Oryzias latipes: one gene and its partner. The main gene of each other region encodes a partner of the protein of the gene in region 2 in a complex. Links are inferred from orthologs where the notes say so. Each region holds a gene or a part of one and is shown on either strand. Other genes may lie near its edges. The genes, in order: yeats2 and tada2a.

Evidence for each region.
Region 1: tada2a (region 2) and yeats2 share a complex: the UniProt entries of both Homo sapiens proteins name them as parts of the ADA2A-containing complex. The link is inferred for Oryzias latipes from reciprocal best matches to the Homo sapiens genes TADA2A and YEATS2.

Annotation. Positions count from the first base shown.
Region 1 is NC_019875.2:23,330,088-23,340,462, forward strand, and holds part of yeats2 (YEATS domain-containing protein 2), read right to left. Parts: coding exon 10,290-10,375; intron 9,991-10,289; coding exon 9,765-9,990; intron 9,544-9,764; coding exon 9,385-9,543; intron 9,115-9,384; coding exon 8,999-9,114; intron 6,995-8,998; coding exon 6,845-6,994; intron 6,545-6,844; coding exon 6,365-6,544; intron 5,564-6,364; coding exon 5,197-5,563; intron 4,597-5,196; coding exon 4,462-4,596; intron 4,192-4,461; coding exon 4,060-4,191; intron 3,824-4,059; coding exon 3,673-3,823; intron 2,949-3,672; coding exon 2,872-2,948; intron 2,784-2,871; coding exon 2,704-2,783; intron 1,678-2,703; coding exon 1,473-1,677; intron 1,207-1,472; coding exon 971-1,206; intron 894-970; coding exon 819-893; intron 590-818; coding exon 516-589; intron 1-515. UniProt on the Homo sapiens protein: Chromatin reader component of the ATAC complex, a complex with histone acetyltransferase activity on histones H3 and H4. YEATS2 specifically recognizes and binds histone H3 crotonylated at 'Lys-27' (H3K27cr).
Region 2 is NC_019871.2:10,130,390-10,141,416, reverse strand, and holds the start of tada2a (transcriptional adapter 2-alpha), read right to left. Parts: upstream 6,961-11,027; 5' UTR 6,860-6,960; coding exon 6,835-6,859; intron 6,445-6,834; coding exon 6,338-6,444; intron 4,817-6,337; coding exon 4,757-4,816; intron 4,676-4,756; coding exon 4,584-4,675; intron 2,024-4,583; coding exon 1,866-2,023; intron 1,212-1,865; coding exon 1,123-1,211; intron 929-1,122; coding exon 856-928; intron 766-855; coding exon 702-765; intron 1-701. UniProt on the Homo sapiens protein: Component of the ATAC complex, a complex with histone acetyltransferase activity on histones H3 and H4. Required for the function of some acidic activation domains, which activate transcription from a distant site. Binds double-stranded DNA.

The DNA of each region.
Region 1 (10,375 bases), on a different chromosome or scaffold from region 2:
TAAGAATAGTTGTTAGTTTTTATTAAGATGGGACAACTTGTACTTAGATGGTATTCTCATTTTGTTCACATTTTGTTCTGAAATGAGTAATATCCACTGTTTACACTTAATGTTTCACTGTAATCAACATAAACTACAGAAAAACTCAAAAAATACAAACCGTTGACTTAAAATAGCAAACAAAAAAATGTATTAATGCGCTGTATAACATGTCGTTTTAGTAATTCTTACAGCTTTTTCAGCTCACTTTTTGCATTTTTGCACGCTTGTAGTTTTATATTTATAGTTTCTATATTTTGACATCTTATAAAGATTTCTTGTGTAGTAACAATTACTTCCTCCGTGGTTAGATACTTTTACTACTTTGTAGTTATTTTTTCCTTTAGATTAATGTTCTTTTGCTATTTTTAGGCTACCTGTTTTTGCATTATAGACAAAGGGATCAAAAAAGCAGAAAATCCCTAAAAACCATAAAAAATGTGAATACTTGAGCAAGTAGGGAAACACAAAGTGACCTGTTTGGGGGCGTTTTGGAGTAAGAAACAGCCAGAGCTTCCCTCAGGATGTCGCTGGCAAACTGTTCTGTAGCCTGCAGTCAGACACACAAAAGTCATCATTAGTCCCGTACAATAGACGCCTGCTATCTTCTCAGTGTTATTCACAGCAGAAAAGCCATCTTCTGCCACTTTACTTCAAGAAACCCAATGGGTCCCGGTGTTTTCTCATTTTCTCTCTCTTGAATTAGGACAGTTTAGATTCGTATCAGTTTTATTAATGGATTTCTTTTCTGTGCTTTTCAGGCTTGTATAATAGCTGACCTTCAGAATCATAGCTTCCACGACCGGAGCAAACAAATTTTTCTCAACCTCCACCGGCTGAAAGGTCGTTCCGATCTAGAAGAGACAAAGCAGTTGCATTCATTTAGAAGTTCCCAGTTCTAACAGTATAAAATGCCAGAGTGGTGCCTAACCTGCTGAGCAGCTTCACTGACAAACTGGGACGACACAGACGGGCCCAGGAAGAATTTGGGCTCCACGTCCGTTTCCTGTTCCTCCTCTTTGACTTTCAGCTTCTGGCGGGGAGGAGTCACGGCAACGATGTCGATAACTTCATCGTCTGCCTCCTCGGGCTCAGTCTTCAGCAATGCCTGCATCTGCTCCAGGCGCATCATCAGCTCCTCGTAGCCGCTCAGAGTCGACGGGCACTCTGCAGACACACGGCGGACAAATGATTCCGCGCGCAAAAAACTGACATGTGGATAAAATAATTAGTGCCTCATTTTACTAATACAATCATCTGTAGATTAGCAGCTGAACAAAACTGGAATCCAAAGACACGCCCAGGTTTAATGGTAGCTGCTGAAGCAACACATCCTTATGTGGAACTCTCAGGAGGAAATATTGATCCCAGTGAGCTTCTGAGAGCAGAGGGATCCTCGTGTAGATTTCCTCCACAAAGTGGCAAAAGCTCACCGGGTTCATTATCGATTTGAGTGAGAATGTCCTCGATGGATTCGTCGTCATGTCTGTGCTGGGGTTCGGGGTCGGGCGGGGTGTAGCCTCTTTGCCGGCACCACTGCACCACCTCTCTGGTCTTTGGGGGGGTAAGGGCCTGCAGGCGTGGGGAGCGGTCCAGAACGTCCTGGACGACTCGCTTCACGGCCACAGCTCGCTGGAGCTTCAGAGACACAAAGAGAAACTTTGGGAAACAAAACCACAAAATGATCACCCTAAAGATCACCATTGCTGAACCCATTACAGACAGACGTCCAGCCGGAGAGACACGTCTGACCTGACAGAGAAACACCCGGCAAGGAGAAAGCTCTGCAACTCAGAGACAGATGACACAGACAACAAACTACAGATGGGATTTTTTTAGGGATTATCAGAATGATATTGATGTTCTTAACCTGGAAACTGGATGAGTGTTCATAAAAAGCTCCTAAAATCCCTCTCAGGTTGGTGTAAACCAAACCACACAAAAGAACAAAACTGACTTTGAAACACAGTGTTCTGTTGTTTATCGTGGGGGATATGTTCCATAAATAACCTGGGATGGATGTAAGTCGCAAAGTAGGATGTCCAGATGTTTTAAGACCGTAAACAACTCACTGCACACTTTAAACACCTTTTCTCAAGTCTGACATGAACATTTTCACACTATTCTCTCTTGTTTAAACTTTTAAAATTCACAATTTATTTTCAGGATTATAGAATAGAAACAGAGATCTCATCACAAAGATTTAGATAACTCTGTACAGCAGACATGTCACCAAAGATATTGATTGACTGACAAGGCCAACAGCCAATTAGGACACAGAGCACAGTGCGCTTTGAAAAAAAGAAAAAAAGAAAGATGAAGTGAAAGGTGAAGCGCAACAAAGCGAGGGATCACTGTATCCATTCAACTTCATCATTTTAGGATCAGAAGGATCAGAGGGGAGCAGAATATTTTCAGATATTTTCTGGCAGATGTGATTTGTTGAATGGAAGGTTCAGACCAGACTAGTATCCTTTCTAACTGCATCTATGGGTGATTTGGTGCAATAATGTAAAAATGACAAATTTTCATAAAGTTAGAAATGCAGCTCTGTCTAATGACACGTTTCTGCTTTTTCTGACTCACTTCAGTTTTCCTGACAGGTGCAGACATGGAAAGATTTTTAGTTTTTAGAAAAACAATTGATAAGAAGCATAAAGTTACCTCTGATGCTCGCCGCTTGCCAATGTTCCAGGAATAATACTGTTCCATCGAGGAGGCACAAAACTGGTGGGAGTCTTCAGCTAAACACAGAAAAAGAATATTCAGACAGCTGGAGAGAAAAAAAATCTGTGTTCTTTGTTGGATCACCTGGAAAGAAAGCAAACTTACTTTTTTCTGGCACAATTAAAGGGAACTTCTTCACAACAGCAGTCAGCAGCTGCATCATGGTCTCTATGTGCTCAGTGCTGCAACGAAAGTGAGCCAAGTGTAGTTTAACTGTTGTGTTTTGTTTTCTTAATATTCACAAACCATACAAATCAGTTCTACTTAAAAAAAAAACCTGTCTAAACTTTAGGTTTTTTTTATTGTCTAAATGTTATTTTTCTTTTCTGTATTTATCCATTTTTTTATTTATCATTTGACCATAATTGATTATTTTCGGTGTTTGTGTTTTTCTTCTAGTAATTTTGTAAAATTACAGTTTGTATACATTTTATTTTACAAAAAAGGCAGAATTAGACTTGATAAGCTGTTCAACGTAATCCAAAGTCCTTTTCAAACGTTGCTTGTTGTCATTCACCGTGATACTTCTCTTTTAACTCATGGTTTTGAGTGAGTTTTTATTAATTTGACATGTGTAGAGACTACTTCAACTTTCAAACTCTTGTATTATTTGTCACTTTTATTGTAGATTTTGTGTGTTTTTGGTGTTTGTTGTTGGTAAACCTACGACTTTCCCAGCGACTACAGTTGAAAATTAGCTTTGCAGCTAACACTGTTAGCGATTCATACTATTTAAAAATATATGAATTAAAAGGAATAAGAAAAGGCAATAAAAAAACGTTTAAAATATTTTTAGTCTTAGATTAAATGGAAAATTTAAAAGGAGGAGAGCAACTAATATTTTCGGTACTCTATCAGAGTCTGCGGTAAACGTGATGCTAAAACTACGACCCTTCTTTGCATTACTTGATGAGGTCGTGGGCGGCGCTCTCCGCTCCTTGCTCCTGCTTGACCGTGGTGGTGGCTGAGGTAACGTGGACAGAGGTGGGGGCAGCGCCAGCCACTGGGGGCGAAGGGCAGGCTGACACAGATGGACAAGCCCCCGGCTCTGTTTTCACTGTTACAGCAGAGAGCAGAAGCGTTCATTTCCAGCAGAAGATCCAAACCAAATAAACACAAAGAGGAAAGGGAAATGTGAAATGACAGGGAATGGGTGTTACATGATGGGTTCGTTACAATACTTGATTTTTGATATAAAAAAAATATTAAAGTGATTGCATCCTTCCTAAGCCCGACACAGCCTAACCAAATACATTAAAGTATGAAGATGAAGTGAGGATGATCCCCTCTCACCTTGTGCCAGAGGCAGGGCAAGGGAGGGGGGTTGTTGGCTAGCAGGACTTGGGGAGGCTCCAGTCCCAGCTGTTCCAGGGGTTGCTGATGATGAGGAGGAAGCAGTACTGGAGACTGGGCCTTTAGCCACCACTATACACACAGGAAATACACACGGATGGAGCATTTGCCCTTTAGGGAAACAGGCTTTACATGTATGTAGATGAAAGATGAGTGGAAATCATTTAAAGGGTTTTTGTTCCTACATAAACGATGTCTTTCTTCATCTCTATAACCACTTTAACTTTGTCTTATTTGAAGACGGAAATCATTTGTAACTAAAAAGAGGATTTCTCTCTGAAAATCATGCAACTGAAAAGGTTTTTTTTTTTTTTTTAAAGAAAGTCGATGTGAAAGTTTTACCTTTCCCAACAGGCATGAAAATAGTCTGCAGTCCACCAGAAACGCTGCCGACGCTCAGCTGCTTGAGCTGGTTGGCAGGAATAGTTAAGACCGTCTGCTGGGAGCCGGAAGCTCCAGAGTGGATCTTCAGCATCCCTGAAAAACATACGAGGAAAATGTGTGTGTCAGCTCTCCTTCCATGTTCTGTAGCTCTAATATCCAGACAAACAAATGGAGATTAAAACGATAAGCAGACAAGGAACTTTATTGAATGAGGTGTGCGAAATACCATGGAGCATTTGATGCTTAAACACCAGCCAATCAGGAACATGATGGGGGAGAGGAAGAAAACTTTCAAATCAATCTAGTTAAAGAACAACCTAAAAAGTATGAAGCTGTTTTAAATCTACAATTATTCCTAGTCTTTAGTATTCTGGCATCCAAAGATTTATTTTTTTGTTTTATCTAGATTTTCTTTGCGGGTTACAAAGAGAAAAAAACAACTAAAAATAATTTTTGAACCAGTCCTTACTTCATTTTGTGTTTATTTTTAAGCTTCTAGTTACTTGACTTTTACATTTTAACCACTTTTGTTCAGTTTTTTGAACATTTAAAAAAGTGTTATTTATAACTGAACATCGGTTTTAAATGAATACTTGAATCAAACCAATTCAGTATTTTGGCAATTAAACCCAATTCTATCTGTTAATGCTCAATAAAAGTTAGTAACTGTTGCATTAAATCATGTCTATCTACCTGATAGAGTTGCACCAGTCCTTCCTCCTCCAGACGCCACGCCGCTTACTAATGATGCTGCAGAAACCAAGGAGGCGCTGCTGCTTTTGGGTACACTCACTACGGCCCCGACCCCGCCTCCTTTTGACATCCCAACAACAGGCATGCTTGTGACCCCCTTTGCAGCAGAAACTGCCGCGCCAACAGCGGTTTTGGTTCCTGCCGCAGCGATACCAGCCCCTTTCCCAGAGGAGTTCAATGCAGCAGCTTTGGACGTATTCCCGCCTCCAGCAGCACTGGAGTTCTTGGCTGCACTGATTACCGCCGCCTGGTTGGCCGCCACCAGAAGAGACTGCTGCTGAGAGGCCGACTTCCCACTATCAGCCGTCTATGAACACACAAGAGAAACACAACCAGGAAATGAACAAAAACACAAGAACTCATTTAAAGTGGTTCTAACCAAAATACCCCAAATTCAGAACCTCATCTGTGTTTTTAAAAACACAGTGGCTTTTTGCCTTTTAGGGAGGTGTTAGGGTTTCCTTATCTAAACATATCTGTGTTTACACATAAATCTGTGTTTTACTGAGGCACAAAGACTGAATTCTTCAAAGTTTTTTAAGAGAAAAATCCTTTAAAACTAAATTTAAATATGAAGGAATTGCCGTTCAAATTCTTTGTAGAACTGCAGACCACTACAACAACAAAAGAAAGGAAAAAGTTGAATTTTCCGCAGGTGGGTTTGGGCTGTAAAACTAAAAAGAAGATTTAGCAAACATGGCACAGAACAACTTCTCCTCACTCTCAGTTTTTATTGTTGTGCAGCCCTTTGAGTGAGATCTGATGCTCAGGTCACTATGACACCCATGGATTTAACAACAACAGAAGAGCCCTCTGCCCCCACATGCAGCACTGATAACTACTACCTACAGGCGCCAAATATGCTGTAAATCTTTCAATCCCTCCTAAACAAGACAACAAACTCATCTCTGCTTTCAGAGACGGTCAATAATGTCATTCAATATCCAAGAAGCTGCTTATGCTCAAAACATAAAATCTAATTGTTTAGAAGATGCTGACTTTTCTTACATTTTTACAAAAAAATACAAAATGTAAATAAAACTAAAGAAACTTTTGAGATTAACAAGTTTGCTTTACATTGCTATTATTAAATTGTAATGAAGCCAACCTGTTGCTGATTGGCTGCTGCAGTGCTGGCAGGGGTGGAGCTTGAAGTAGTGATGACTCCGCCCGTCATCCTCAGAGTGGTGGTACCCAACTTGGACATGTGACCGGCTCCTGCTGATGTCACGGTCTTGACGGAGCCGTCAGACAGCTTAAGCTGGGCGCCCTGGGTGGAGCCCACCACCTGCCAGTAAAAAAAACACAACGGGGAGGTGTCAAAGGATACACATTTATAACTATTTAGAAATTTATTTAAAACAGGATTTATTTGCACTACAGGATTAAAACATCATGATTAAAGGAATTCAGAGTTGAAAAAAACAATTCCTTAGTTTAGCTCTTTTGGAAAACCTTTTCTGTTTTTTTAAACATTTTATAAAGACTCGCTTCAGGCTGCTTATGAAAATCTTCATGAACAACAGTTTAGCTTAAAAAAAATACTAAAGGTAGCAGTAAAGGCCTGATATCAGGGATGTTCACTCACCTGAGCCAAGATGGCTGCTTTCTGTCCAGCTGTGACCCGAATGGCCTGCTGGGTAGCAGCTGCAGCTGGAGAAGCTGCTGAATGAGCTGCTGAGCTGGCACCCCCCTGTTTCGCAGCCCCCTGCGCTGGCTGCCCAACCAGAAATGTGCCCTTCGAAGCACAAAGTTAGGTTTGGACGTGGGCGTGGGAAGGACAGTAACAGCAGAAGTTACAAAAGGGAAAAATAAACAAGTGCTCTCTCTGAAGGCATATGGATGTTAAAAAAGAACCTCAATGCTTTCCACTGTCCAAACAAGCTGATCTAGAAGTGAACATTAAGCTGAAAATCTGCTGTCGCACTAGAATTTGATCTTAAGCAACTCTGTAAACAGCTAACAAAGCCATACTCAAGAAAAATGAGATTTCAAAGGACATTTTTATTTTCCTATTCTTCCATCTTTTGTGTTGTTGAAAGTGGAGCCCATAGAAGAATTTTTAGAACAAGCAGCAGATAAAAAGCCGGGACAGGGAGCCATTTCTTTACAGAGAAGAACAGGCAGTATTATGAAGAGGGTTCATGAGAATGCATGCAGAAACACACGACTGACAGTCAATAAAGAAACCTTGCTGCTGTGAATTCCAAACAATCTCCAACAGAAATGTAGAACAATGACAATGCTATGTAATTCCAACTACCGTAAATTCCGGACTACAAAGCGCACCCGATTACAAGCCGCACCCACCCACTTTCACGTGTTTAATTAGTTTTACACATACACAAGCCGCGTCAGAGTACAAGCCGAGCATGTGTTAGGCGATATTGTCATCCTGACAGATCACGGCCAGCATCCCAGAGTGAGTGCAATTCATTAGCACATTGTGGGTGGTGCCAGCTTTGCCTCAGGCTCATGTATTTGAGTATCGACATCTGTCAAACAGCATGGACCTCTATTCTGTTCACAAGTTCCTCAGTTATGGTGTTTTTATTTCATTTTTTTTTTTACTTATTGACAATCTAGGTATCATACATAAAATTACAAACAGTAACCATATAATCAACATTACATCCCTCAGTTATGATGAGGAAATTTACATCTGCGATTCCACATTTCCCATGAGTCTTAGGGGCTAAAGGCGGGGCCAATGCCCGGCTCGCCATTCTGTTGTACGTGTTTAAGAATGAGCAAGTATCAGCAGTGCATGGAGGGGTGAACGGGAAAAGCTCTCCTTCCGCTTGTGTCGCGGCAGCGTTATGGGAGTAACAGGGCTGGTTAAAAAACACACCGGTAAAATACAGCAGCGGCGACTGACTGAAAAGCGCGCGCCTCAGCGTGATACGCGCGCCTCAGTGCGGCGCGTGCGTCAGAATTCAGAAGCCTCTGCGCTCCGCTCCCGCCCCGCGCGCTCCTTGTCTCCCCTTCCTATCTACTCTGACACCTCTGGCCAGGGCGGCTTCAAGGAGGAGCACTTCGTCCCCGTTGCGCCGGTGGATGGAGCAAATCGTTTCAGTGCAAAGCAATCGGACTTAATACTGTACGTTTTGTGTATGAGGGGCGGGTGCGTTGTTACGTGGGACTGCCATCGGCCCCGCAGCTCAATCAGCAGGAGATGTCTCCAGCTCACACGGAGGCTGTGAATTTTTCAAAGCAAAATTCCGCTTTTACGGTTTCCTTAGAAACCGTAAATGGAGTGTAAATTCACTCCATGCGCTGTTCTCTCCGTCACGCAGGAAACCGGCTTTTCCAAACCCGTTGGTGACGGTGGACTTTTTTATGCTGCTTTTAACGATTGCTTTTAACTTGAAAGCTTCATCATATTGTAGCGGCGATCACGTGCACGTTGGGTCTAATGGCACCAAAGGGTTCTGGGATGCGGCCGGGCATGCGTGTTTCGTTTTGTTGAACCATGACTGAAGTGTCTAAGACCTGAAGTCAAGTCCATGCTGTTTGGCTGCTTAAAGGTGTGTTGAATATAAATGCCTTGTGCTTGGTGTTAGATAAAGAATTCAAACTATTCACTGAGTTCGAAAGTACGTACATGGCGGCCGCTAATTAAATCCATAAATTAGCCGCGTCACTGAATAAGCCGCAGGGCTGTAAGCGCAGGAAAAAAGTAGCGGCTTGTAGTCCGGAAATTACGGTAGTTATTTATATAAAAAAACAAGAGTGTAACTACCTGTGGGGTCTGTTTAAGGATGTAGGATGTGTAGGACAGGTTTGAAGTAAGATTGCTGGAAGAGGAGCTCTGGGAACCTCCTGCGCCTCCAGAGGAGCTGCTCTGGGACTGCTGACCTTAATTCCACGCAGACGACAGGACATTTTTAAATCAGGTAAACAATCCTATTACACTTTAATATTTAGTAATCAATCAGCTTTGTGGTTCTCAATTCATAAAAGCATAAAACTAAGATTGATAAAGTGAATTGTTGGACAAAAGTACAAACAAAGCAGCTATTTAAAACTAATAGGATAATAAGTGTGTAGTATAACTGAAACAGATCTAAATAATGTGGAGGTTTCTTTGTACTTAAAGGCATAAACATAAGTTTGAGGATGTCTTACTTGCACTAGATGCTCGGAGAATGGCTCCCTGTGGTATCAGCAGCAGCTTTCCTTTCCCTGATGGGTTCTTACTGTTGGTCGTCAGATAAAGTTTGGTGCCAGGAGGCAAATTGGCCAAATTCGCCAAGTTGTTGGCTGGAAGCTGCAGAGTAGCCATTACTGTAAAAAATACAAAAGACGGTGTACAGATCAAGGTAAAAGGAAGAAGGGTGTAAAACCAAAAGTGTCTGATTTTTCAGAAAGGTGTTTATTTACAATTCAAGGTTTACAATATTACAGAATCTAAATGTTTGAGATAAAAAGAGCTAATTTCCTATAAGCTAAGATGTAAAGGTTTATCATAGTGAATCTAAATGTCAGTCATGTCTGTGAGTTCAAACCTCCACTTTTGCCCCCTGAACCACCAGCTGTCTTGGCGCCGCCCTGCTGGCCTGACAAGGCGCTGCCTCCACTGACGATGGCTTTAGCAACTCCCTGAGCCAAAACCTGCTTGCCTCCCATCACTTTGGAACCGGGGTTGCCCTTGGCAACCAGAATTTGCCCACTGCTGATGGCAACTTGCTTAACCGAAGATTGAAGTGTGGAGCCAACAGGAATCCCCAACATCTACAAAGAGAAGAAGGGGAGAGAGAAACAAATGAAAAGAAATGTTTAGGAGTTACTGTGTTTGGGAATGAAAAATAATGATGAGTGAGAGCAAGAAAAAAAAGACTGCAGTACTTGATCTTTCAAAAGTTTAAAGCCTGAAACAAGTTTTTAAAACATTATAGATCTTATTTTTCCTTGTTCCGTCAAATCTCATCAGACTGTTTTCTTTTGGGATCTGGAAGCTAAACTTGGCTTTTTGGACGCAATTCAGGTAGATCCTCCTGGTTACTGTCTGGATCTATGCAGGAATGTCTGACCTTGCTTGTTGTGGACCCTGTGGCTCCTCCGGCCTGTTTCTGAGCCGTCATGGAGATCATGTGACCTCCTTTCATTGCAACCAACT
Region 2 (11,027 bases):
ACCGAACAGAAATTAGCTGGCTATGAAAAAAAACAACCTCTAATCATAAAGCTCTCATTGAATAAAAAAATATATTTTAAGTAAAACATAACTGTGATTTCATATTTTTTATGCAGTAAGATAATTTTAACCAGTTTGAATATTAAAGGTACACAAAAAAGTACTAATATTGAAAGTCACCACTTAAAAAAGCTCCACATTTGCACAGATAAGCAGAAAAGAGAAGGAAAAAAAATTGTTCATGTGAATTTGAAAGTGTTTTCTTCCAGCAGGAAAAACAGTTGCCCTGCCAGCCCAAAACTGGGCAGAAAGTCAAACTGTTCACAAAGACGTAGCCTTTGCCTGCGATGCTGCAAAAATATTTAGGAAATAAAAGTAGCTTCATTTAGAGCCTCTCACCTCAATCTAACGATGTTCATCTTAACAAGAGCTGAGGAAAAAGTCTAATGAAAAAGCATCACTTATTCTGCTATATCTTCATTTTTGTTTAAAGTTTTATTGCTATCAAATTATAACTGTTTGTAATAACTGATGCGTAATTGTTAAATAGAAAGAAGATGGGGTTTTTGGGTTTTTGGCTATGTTCTACCTGAAGATTGTGTTTGGGGAAACAAATCTCCAGAAGATCAGAACAGACGCTTATGGCGCCATCTGTTGATTAACTGGTGTTATTACAGGATGACGAATGCACAAGAACTTACTTCTTCCTTCTTTGCCGCTCCTTTAACCTTGAATGATAAATATCAACAACTGCAAGCTTGAGAGCTGAAAAAAAAGAAGCACACATCCCAGACGAGCATTAAACTCATAGCTGTTATGGTCTAGAGCGCAGTGGAGCAAAGAGGAAAATCTCACCGTGAAGGATGTCTGAGTCATCGTCCACAAAGTCGATGTCTTTTAAATCCCATTCTGCGTAGTTGTCAAACTCCTAAAGAGACACATGAAAGATGATTTGAGAATCCCACTGGCTTGATTAAAGTCCACAGAGCAGAAGATCTGATGCCTCAAAAGCAGCAACAAAGGCGTGAGCCTCGGTTCAATAATACTCACTCACAGCTCTGCTGTGGCAATTCATTCACATGGACAGGCTACGTTAGAACACAAAAATGACAGTGGCCTCACCTCCATGAAGTCTGCTCTGGCTGGCATGTAACCCGCCATGTCCCGAGAGAGCACCGAGTCAAATATGGGCCGGGGCGGGTCGTCACAGGCTGGAGTGTGGTGCACAAAAAAATAAAGATCTCACAGTCACTGATGTGAAGATTTTTAAACGGACTCGTGAATAAACTGTACTTGGATTTGTTTTTAAGCTCTGACACTGACTGCAACCACCTTTACCTGCTGCTCCTGTCCACATTTAGACTATTTGTAGATATAATATCATTAATCTTTTCTGGAAATTCTGAGACTGTGGAACAGCTTTCCTCTAAGAAGACTTAAAGACCCACTCCCATGAACATCACGTTTTTGGTGCTTTTACATCAATAAATAAAATGAAACATAAAATTGCATTTCTGAGTATTTCTACACAAGTAGTTGTGAATCTTAAAGAGGAGATGATCAATAAATAATATCTTCACCAATAGCCTTCAAAACAGATTTAAAACACAATTAAACCCCAAACAATCAGCTTTGCCTACGTTTAACGCATTAGCAAGCTGTCAAGGGTTCAAATCCCAGACAGTTATTGTGTGTCTTTGGGCCCTTTACCCCACATTGCCCTCATTATAGGAAACAGCTTTTTAGCGTGTCGTTTAAATGAGTAAATGTGAATGTACTGAGGTGCTTTCTTCATGCACGATGCCTTCATCTCATTCCTTCTCTGTAGAATCAAATGAAAGGAGAGTCACTATGCAGGAACATACGTTTGAAGGGGATTGCTCCTTCTGCAAAACGAGAATCTTTCGTTTTCTTCAGGCTGAGTAAGGTGGAGGAAAACAGGGGGTTGTTGATGAAATTCTTCATGTAGTGGCTCTCGCACTCCTCTTTGGTTTTTGTGCGCATCTGATATGCCACGTCCTGCCTGAGAAGAATGAACGCAGACAATTAGAGGACTTTTCTCAACATGGCATGTGTGAAAGATGATGTTTTTACGGATTAAAAGATACAAATTTGAAGTTTTAATTAAACCTGCAACTGCCTAGTATTCTGGTATTCTTATTACCTTCATTCCATTTAATTACCGTACTCAGATGTAGAGGTTCCAAAAAAAATGAATTAGCCCTTCTTTAGGCTTGAACATTTGGAACAGCATGAAGAAAATTCTTATATACCGTAATTTCCAGATGATAAGCCGCTACTTTTGTCACACGCTTTCAAACCTGCGGCTTCTTCAATGATGCGACTAATTTCTGCATTTTTATCTTTTTTTTATGCATATTTTCTAACGCCCGCTAGGGGCGCTCGAGCAGGGGGAATACGGTATATGTGTCGAGGAAGACGCAAGTTTAATGTGAATTCCCGCTTTGGGAATGAATAGCACAAAAAGACCCTCATTATAGAAAATGCAAGAAGAAATGCTTAAGCAGCTTTAAGTTAAAACCAATCGTTAAAAGCAGTGTGAAAAAATCCACCATCACCAACGGGTTTGGAAAACCCGGCTCAGGAGTGAATTTGCCTCAGAGTGACAATGACAGCGACAACGAAAGAGAGACAGAGAGAGTGTGGGGAAGAATATCTGACGCTGTTCCAATCTGACACTGAGGAGGAAAACCTCCATGGTTTCAGTGCACAGGAGGCGCGTGTCACGCAGAGGCGTGCTTATAAGTTACTGCTGCTTTCAGTGACTTTTTTTTTTCTTCTTTCAGTGACTTTTACCGGTATGTTTTTTTTTAACAAGCCCTGTTAGTGCTGTTACTACCATATTGCTGCCATGTCACAGGCACTGTTTGGAATAGAGCTGTGACGGTGTGGGATTTTTGATGACCGCTGTGATGAACACAAAATCCTCCGGCGGCTGCGTCGCAAATGAATACCGGTACAAGTACGACTGCACGATATGAAGAAAACTCGCGATATGCGATATTAGTAATTAATATTGCGATAACGATATAATTTGCAGTATATAAACAATTAGCAAAACAACCAAAAATATTATTCCCATTCCATTACAACAGCTTAAAAATTATACTACAAATGACCCTTGTTGACATAGGAGGCGAACATACAACATAATAGGGCGCCATCCGATTAGTTAACAACGTGAAGAGGTCCATCTCATTGGTCAAATGCAGAAAGGGATTCTTTCAATCCATTAAACACTTCAAGCTGCCATAAGATTGTTTGGCCACATCTAAGGTAACCATTTATTGCAAATTTGCTGTCTTTTGCGATATGCATATTGCACAGCTTGATATTGCGATAACGATAAATTTGCGGTATATTGTGCAGGCCTACGTACAAGTAATAATTACAACGCACTAATCTTTATTAACAAATAACCGTAACAACTAACTACTATCAATGAACTAACTATATTGGTGTTGTAGAATGAGTATGTGTGTGTCAGTGCACTGTGTGTGTAAGAGGAAGGAGCACTAGCAGTGCAAGAGTAAGTGACAGCCTCCCTCTAGCGCTGCACGCTCTCCCCTCTTTCTTACACACAGGGCTCGTGGTTTCAGCACATACACATCCTCATTCTACAACACATGTTTCAATGTGGGCACATGCAGCTTATGGACAGGTGCGGCTTATGTATGTACAAAATGTTTTATCCTTTAAAAATGGAATGGGTGCGGCTTATAATCAGGTGCGCTCTATATCCAGAAATGACGTTAATCTGTTCCTTTTAAAGAAGCACATTGCGACGTTAATAACAACACAAACAACAAAACTTTACATTTCTACATTTCTATCCCCTCCTTAACCCAGCTCGGTCTCAAGCTTACGTTTGTGGATGTCTTACTTCAGTTCTCTGCTTGTATTTTTTAAATATCCCATTTTTAAGCTTTTTTTTTCCAATCTATGCAACTATGCTTGTAGTTTCTTTCAATGTACTGTCCAGTGAGTTGCATAGATTGACTGCATATAGTGATATGTGTGTCTATTAGTTGTGCGTGCAAGTGGCAAATTATATTTCCTCCTGTCGCTATCGTCTTATGAAACAAAAGAAAAAACGGATTGAATGATGTTTGGGAGAATTTTCAATTTGGCTTTTAACATGAATAATAAAGTTTTTAAAAAATCAATTAAATTATTAGTGAATTCTCTGCTGCCTTTTTGTTGATTATACTAATTGCTTTTTTCTGTAAATGAAACAAAGGCTTTATATATATGGACAGAATATGCTTTTCCCCAAACTTCGAGGCAGTAACTAAATTACACTTAAATTAAAAAACAATATAACCACTGTTAAATAATATTTTCACCAATCTTCTTTTTTAAATAATTAATGTGAGATTTCCATTAAACAGCAGAAATGACTTGTAAAAATTGTCACATTTTGAAACCAAAAGACAATGAAACTAACATGACACCAATGATAAATAGCTAAATGATAAAACATTAAAAACTTGCTTTTTGAAGTTAGTAAAAATAAGTGTATTCAAAAAGAAAACACTGGTAAAATGTCTTCGACCTCTTACCAGTTCCCAAACCCGCAATCCATGACTGCCTCCAGCAGAGCCATCTCCTCCTGCGCCGTCCATCCAGGCTCCAGCACCGGGAAGTCTGAAGTCTGAGTCGAGGTAACACAAAAGATGCCCGCTAAACATGATGTTTAGCTACACCCGAGAAACTCAACTGCAGCTCCACTCACCATGATTTCATATCTGTGATCACTCTGATGCTTCTTGTATTCAAATCCTCTGGTAAAACACTGGAACGAAATAAGTTCAGGGTAAAGCTGGTCAGGTAAAAGACACGATTTGTTCATTAAATAAAAGTTCTTTGAATGCACTGAGGAGGTTTTCTTAACTGAGAAAAGTAAAACTTACATGCAAATTAAGTGAATTCATAAATTGTATCGATATGACGACCATGAAAGAAGCAGCAGTTATAATGTGGCTTATTTTTCAAATAAACCCAATCGTAAAGATCTGGTCATTTATTTCCCCATTAATTTAACAGTGAAGGAAATCATTTTGCAAAATAACAAAGTTCTAATCTAGAAAGAAAAAACAAGTGCATTTTTGGAAGTAACTAACAAAAGAATTTGTATTCAACACAGGTGTGTGAGAAAGCACAGTATTAAACCAGGTTAGACACAATTTGACTTCATCCTTTTAAATAATTTTAAAAGATTTCATAATATCAGTGTGCTATAAAACTATAATAAAGCGTCACTTTTTAAGAAACACATTTAGAAATGTGATCAACAACATTGTAATGTACTTTTAATACCCTTTTACTACAGAATGTAATACTATATTTAAAAACTGTACTTATTAATATATAGTTGATATATTTTATAGATACAAAATTAAATATGTCAATTATTTTAATTTTTAATAAAATTGTATCTATCATAGAATATTTGTAACAATAGAAAACCCTAGAAAATGTAACACTTAACACTCATAATAAAGAACATACATACAAAACATTATTTGGTTTAGCAATACGATCTAATGCTATTTGAACAAATTCAAAATTCAGAGTGCAAAAGTATTTTAATTTGTGCTACATGATTTTTTCTCAAATGTAATAATGTTTCTAAGGCAATAAATATATTATTTAATAATGGATGTAAGACTTACCGTATATCCTCCAATAATAGCCCTGACATTAATTGAAGACCAGCCACTATTGGAAGATATATGGTATTGGCAATGTAAAAAATAAATAAAACAATTGTTAAGAAACAGGATAATCAGTGGAACATGAAAGAACTGGACGGAACACCCTGACACCTCTTTATTATACACTGCCGTGGGATGGCATCATGTTCTTTCATTTGAATTTTTTTTCTCAAATCAGGTATAGTAGTTAGAAATCTGTGGAAGGCGATCAGTGCTGGGCGGGCACTGATGTGGAAACCTCCAGAAGTTCCAAAAATAAGGGTCAATCAATGGCTACAGAAATAAAAGCAGTTTGGCTATTTGGAAAACCTTGCATACCTTCTGCTGCTCATTGCACAAATGCGCGTTCCTCACAAATATGGACTCATTTAAAATATAAAGCAAACTAATTTTGCAGAAGTCTAACATTTATTGCCAAGAAGTTTTGCAACAACAACAAGGAAATACTGGGCTAAAAAAAAAAATCGTAAGGTTTTGTCCAAAGTGTTTAAACTGTGGTCTGTCTGCGTAAAGTTACAGCTGAGTTATTCGGTTTGTGTTCAAACACACATTCTAAAGAGCCAAAACAAACAAATTATAAGCATCCTCATCTGGCTTACCTGAAGACACAACAAAAAAGGTGAAGGTCCACATTCTGCGCACTTGATGTATGGTTCGGTTAGATGGGATGAGCAGCCTCTGCAAGGCGGTTTATCAAAGGGGTCATCTAAAATGAACAGAATAATTATATATATATTATCAGTAACAGTTTTAATAGTAACAACACGCAGTTAAAAAAGATACATATAGCCTAAAGTCGTGATTTTGGGGCAAACTTGAATGCACAAAACAGATGTTATCTTGGGCGAAGGACTAGCTTTACTAGTCGAGCTTGAAAATGATGATAATGTTGAATGTCTCAACAACAGGTCGAATATTTTCAACAAATCACTGCGGCAAACAAAAATAGCATTGTTTTTGACGGCGATGCTAATGCTAAAGATAGCTTAGCAGACCTTGCTTTATGGACAAAAACAGCTAACCTTCCAAAAAGTCGATGGATACTTGGTAAAACTGCAATAAATTCAACTGTGTGTATAATAATGCCAATACGTACCTGAAAAAGACGCTATTCGGTCCATTTAATTGCTATTTGCTTCTCAATAACAACACCAAAATTGAATTTGGGTCGATCTGTTTTTCAGAACTCGGCTATGTGCCTGATGACGTCATAACTAATCGAGCTCCGAATATCGATAGTTTTGGTCGTGTATCACCACACAAAATGATATATATACTATTATGTTTTAATAGTTGTGTGCCATGTCCTCATAGGTTCTTACAAAGGCAGAAGAAACTCAAAAATTTGAACAGAAAACAAATGTTGTTTAAAAAAATGTATGAAATATATAAAAAAGCCACATGGAATATTGCATTTTAATGCAAAATGATTTTTATAAAAAGGTATTTCATCTTTAACTTTCTTTTCCTTCTCTTAAGATTTTTGTTTTACATTTATTTTGCAATGGGGAGAGATTTTAACTTGTTTTTAGTTTCTCCATCTCATCACCATGACGACAGTACTTCCCTATATTGCCACAAGGTGCTGATCTTGCTCTATGTCTCTTAAGGCAACAATGAGCACCCTGAAAGCCTTTGTCTCCCTCCCAGCACAGATGATTACCTGAGGCTTGCATAAGCATCATGTGAGAAATAGAAATAAAGATGATGAATGTTCTGTGTCACAACACCCCCATGCTGCTTTTTGTCCTCCATAAACTTTTTGCAGAGGTGCTGCCTGGCCTGCAAAAGGCTTCAAGACATTTTCTTTAATATGAAAACCAGCAAATATTTATGAGTACCAATGTTTTCCAGTGCCTGTGTCCAGGTTTGGCACCCCCAATTCAAAAACAGCTCAAACACCCTCAAGAGCATGCCAGTGAGGGCCCATGAGGAGCCTTAGGAAAACAAATATCTGAAACCCTAATGCATAAAACTGCAAATCCACATGTGCCAAACTCACTTAAAGGTAGAAAAAATAAGTATTTGAGTGAAATGACTGATTTAGTACAGATGTGGCTGGAAAAAGGACTGTTTGATTTTCATGAAACCTCTTAACCTCTCTGCAGTTACTAATTATGACAGTTTTTATTCTAATATTTGCATTTCTGTCATTGATACCAGAAAATCTGATTCCTTCTTTCTTTGAGGTGATTCAGAGCAAATATATTTAGACTGCAAATCCCCACAGAGGATGAGGGCAGCTTCCTAAACCACATGATGGGTTAACTCTGAATGGGCTGCTCTGTTCCAGCTTGCTTGAGCCTTCTCTGTGAGTTCAATACATCCTGATTGGTCTGTTCGGTAGCATCCTAGCCTGCGACTCATCTCTGGAGCCTCTAGGGAGAGACACGGTTTTTAACGATAGTCTGTGTATGTTAAGGAGATGCACGCACACTCTTACTCTTTTGGAGGAATTTCCAGCTCACCGTCATACTAGCTTGTAATCATCCTTTGAGAGGGTCATGATTTATTCACCTATGAGGAGAGACTTCTCCTTTTTGTGTAACGGTTTGCTGTTGTGTGTTGAGCCAGAGTGAGCTTCCTTTTTTGTTCCTGGCTGCAGCATTCACACCACATGCCCACAAGTGTGTGATCAAACGTGGCTATAAAGGCCACAACTTTTCAGGACTATCTCAGCAGAAGAGCCCTTCTATCAACTGTTTGTTTCACTAAATTATTAAATTCGGAATAAATTGATCAGGAATTAGAAGATTTTTGGATGTCATTTATTATTGTTCAAGTGTTTTTTTTAAAACATTTCTCTATTCAAATTTAATTGATCCAACATGCACTCAGTATATTTGTTTGTTATTCTTAGAACTTTGTAAAGTTCATGCTTTTTTTGTTTTAAAGGTCTATTTAACAGCCTTAAAGATTCTAAGGAGGCCTAAAATCGGCTGAAATGGCATGAGACCAATCTGGGGACTTTTTGAGAGATTTTTACGGTGACCATAATAATTTATCTTTATAACCGTTTTATGTGTCAATTTTAATATCCATTGTTTTAGTAAAACCCCAGATTATTTTCTTTCCTTGATATTCCTCATCATATTGAACAGCAATTTCACCACAAACCTGAAACTGACCTGAGTGGTAAAGTTAGTCCTTTTTTACTGCAAAAAAAACATCAAAAAATGTAATCAAATTGTTTTTTTATGTCTCATGGCAAAGCTTGAACATATACAGACAAAATAAAAAAATTATTTTTCCAAAAACAAAGCAAAGATATGATCAAAACAAAGAGAAAAATGTCTAATAAAACCAGACAAAGCTCCACAAAGCTATATGTTTAAGGGATTTGTTTCAAGGGGTATCTTAATTATGTGTCATAACAGTTGTCATGATTGGTCTGAACCAAAAGTTTTAAAGCTAAAAACCTTTTGAAAACCTTCATTTTGGGTGAAGAATATGCTAATGAGGGATCATTGTCATTCCTATGTCATCGTAAACAGCAAATGTGATTGTCCTTCCTACTACTGATCGTTAAATTATTCTGTAATGAACTTACTGTACAAGGCATAAAATGTTCATTTTTTTCTGCTGGGATGCTGGCATTTCATAGATGTGTGTTGGCTAAAAGACACGTCTGTGCCCAGCAGTTGCATTTAATTAAGTACAATTGTATGTGTAAGGACCATTTGAAATGTCACGGTCAGGATTTGCATTAGCACACAGTAGGAATTCACATCTTGGCAGGAAATGCAGAATGAATGCATTTTCCATACGGACAGTAACAAAGAAAAGCGTGTCAGATTTGTAGAGAGACGTGTGTGCTCCCCTGCGATGGCCTCTGCTTCAGCATCACCGCCTTGGGGGGAGGCACAGGACCGTCTGACTCTTCATCCCTGTTCCACCTCCTCCCTTCCTCCGGCGCCTTTACGCAGCAAAAATCTTTTTCTGCTACAGCTGTTTGCCAAAATATAACTGAAGCCCGACTCTTAAAATAAAAAATGCCCCCCCTTTAGTGCACACGTCTTTTCTTCCAGCAAATGCACCTCCCAGCTGCTGTGATTTAAATATAAGGGCCCCGTGAAGAAAAGAGGGCATCTGGCACACGCCTTCAGGGCCTTGACAAAAAAAAAAAGCACCAAACAAAGCAGTTAATCTGCTCCTGCCAATGAAAAATCCTAGAATACAAATGGGTCAATTCGGAACATAAGGAGAAGGAATGGACACAGGCCATTGAAAAAAGTCTGGACAAAAGACAAAAGGAGGAGGACAAGTGCAGGACAGACAGCCTCAATCAAAGATTTATATTCACTGTAGCAGCAGAGCTGATGACATTTATTAAGCTGCGCTATTCTTACTGTGGCAAACCAGCTTCTTTCAGGAGAAGGCGTTTTCTTGAAGCTTTTTTATAAACGTTTAAAAAAAATGTAAAAACATTTTGTGATTTGTGATCAAATCTGATAACTTGAGTCAGTTTCTCATCCATAGACAACAAAACTCTGAAAAAAGGGTTAATATATACATTTATTATGTCTTTTCCGATGTTCAAGAAACAAAATTAACTTAAAAAAAATATTATTTATTTTGAGAATAAACCAAGACATATAACAAGTACTAGTTCAATAAAGTTCACAGTGTCTGTATCGACAACTGAAATCTTAGGCTCTTCTTTTATCGGACACCCGTGTCTGATAAAAGATAAACATAATATCATATAACAAGTACATTGGAAAAAATACAAAATCTCATCAAGTATTTTTATCTAGCTTTTATTATCCCTTTATACTTGACATAAGACAAAACTAACTTAACAGTAACTGTACAGTACGCTGTTATGACTTGTTTTAAGACAATACATCTTGAATTTTTGGTTGAGTCATTTAATCTTGAATTCTTGAACAAAACACTTTTTCAAACTTTTCTTGTAAGCTAAAGTTTTATTTTTGAAAGCTCTTATTTAACTGACTTTCTTGATTTCGTTTTATTTACATATATATTTTAAAACATATTTATTTTAAAATTTGCAGCTCTAAATAGTATTCTTATTTTTTGGTGAAATGGTCTAGAAATAAGGATAGTTGGATAGTTGCTGTAGTATTTAAAATTGGATGTATTTTGGAGGACAAGTGTCTAAATATACATACTTGCTAAAGATGCTAAACTTTTTATGAGCAAAACACGCCTGGTTTAAGAAATCATTTTTCCAATTACCAGAGCAATACACTTTAATATGAATGTTTAAAGCCTATTTCAAGCTTTATTTAATCTAAAAGGGCAAAACAATTAGTTCTATTGGCA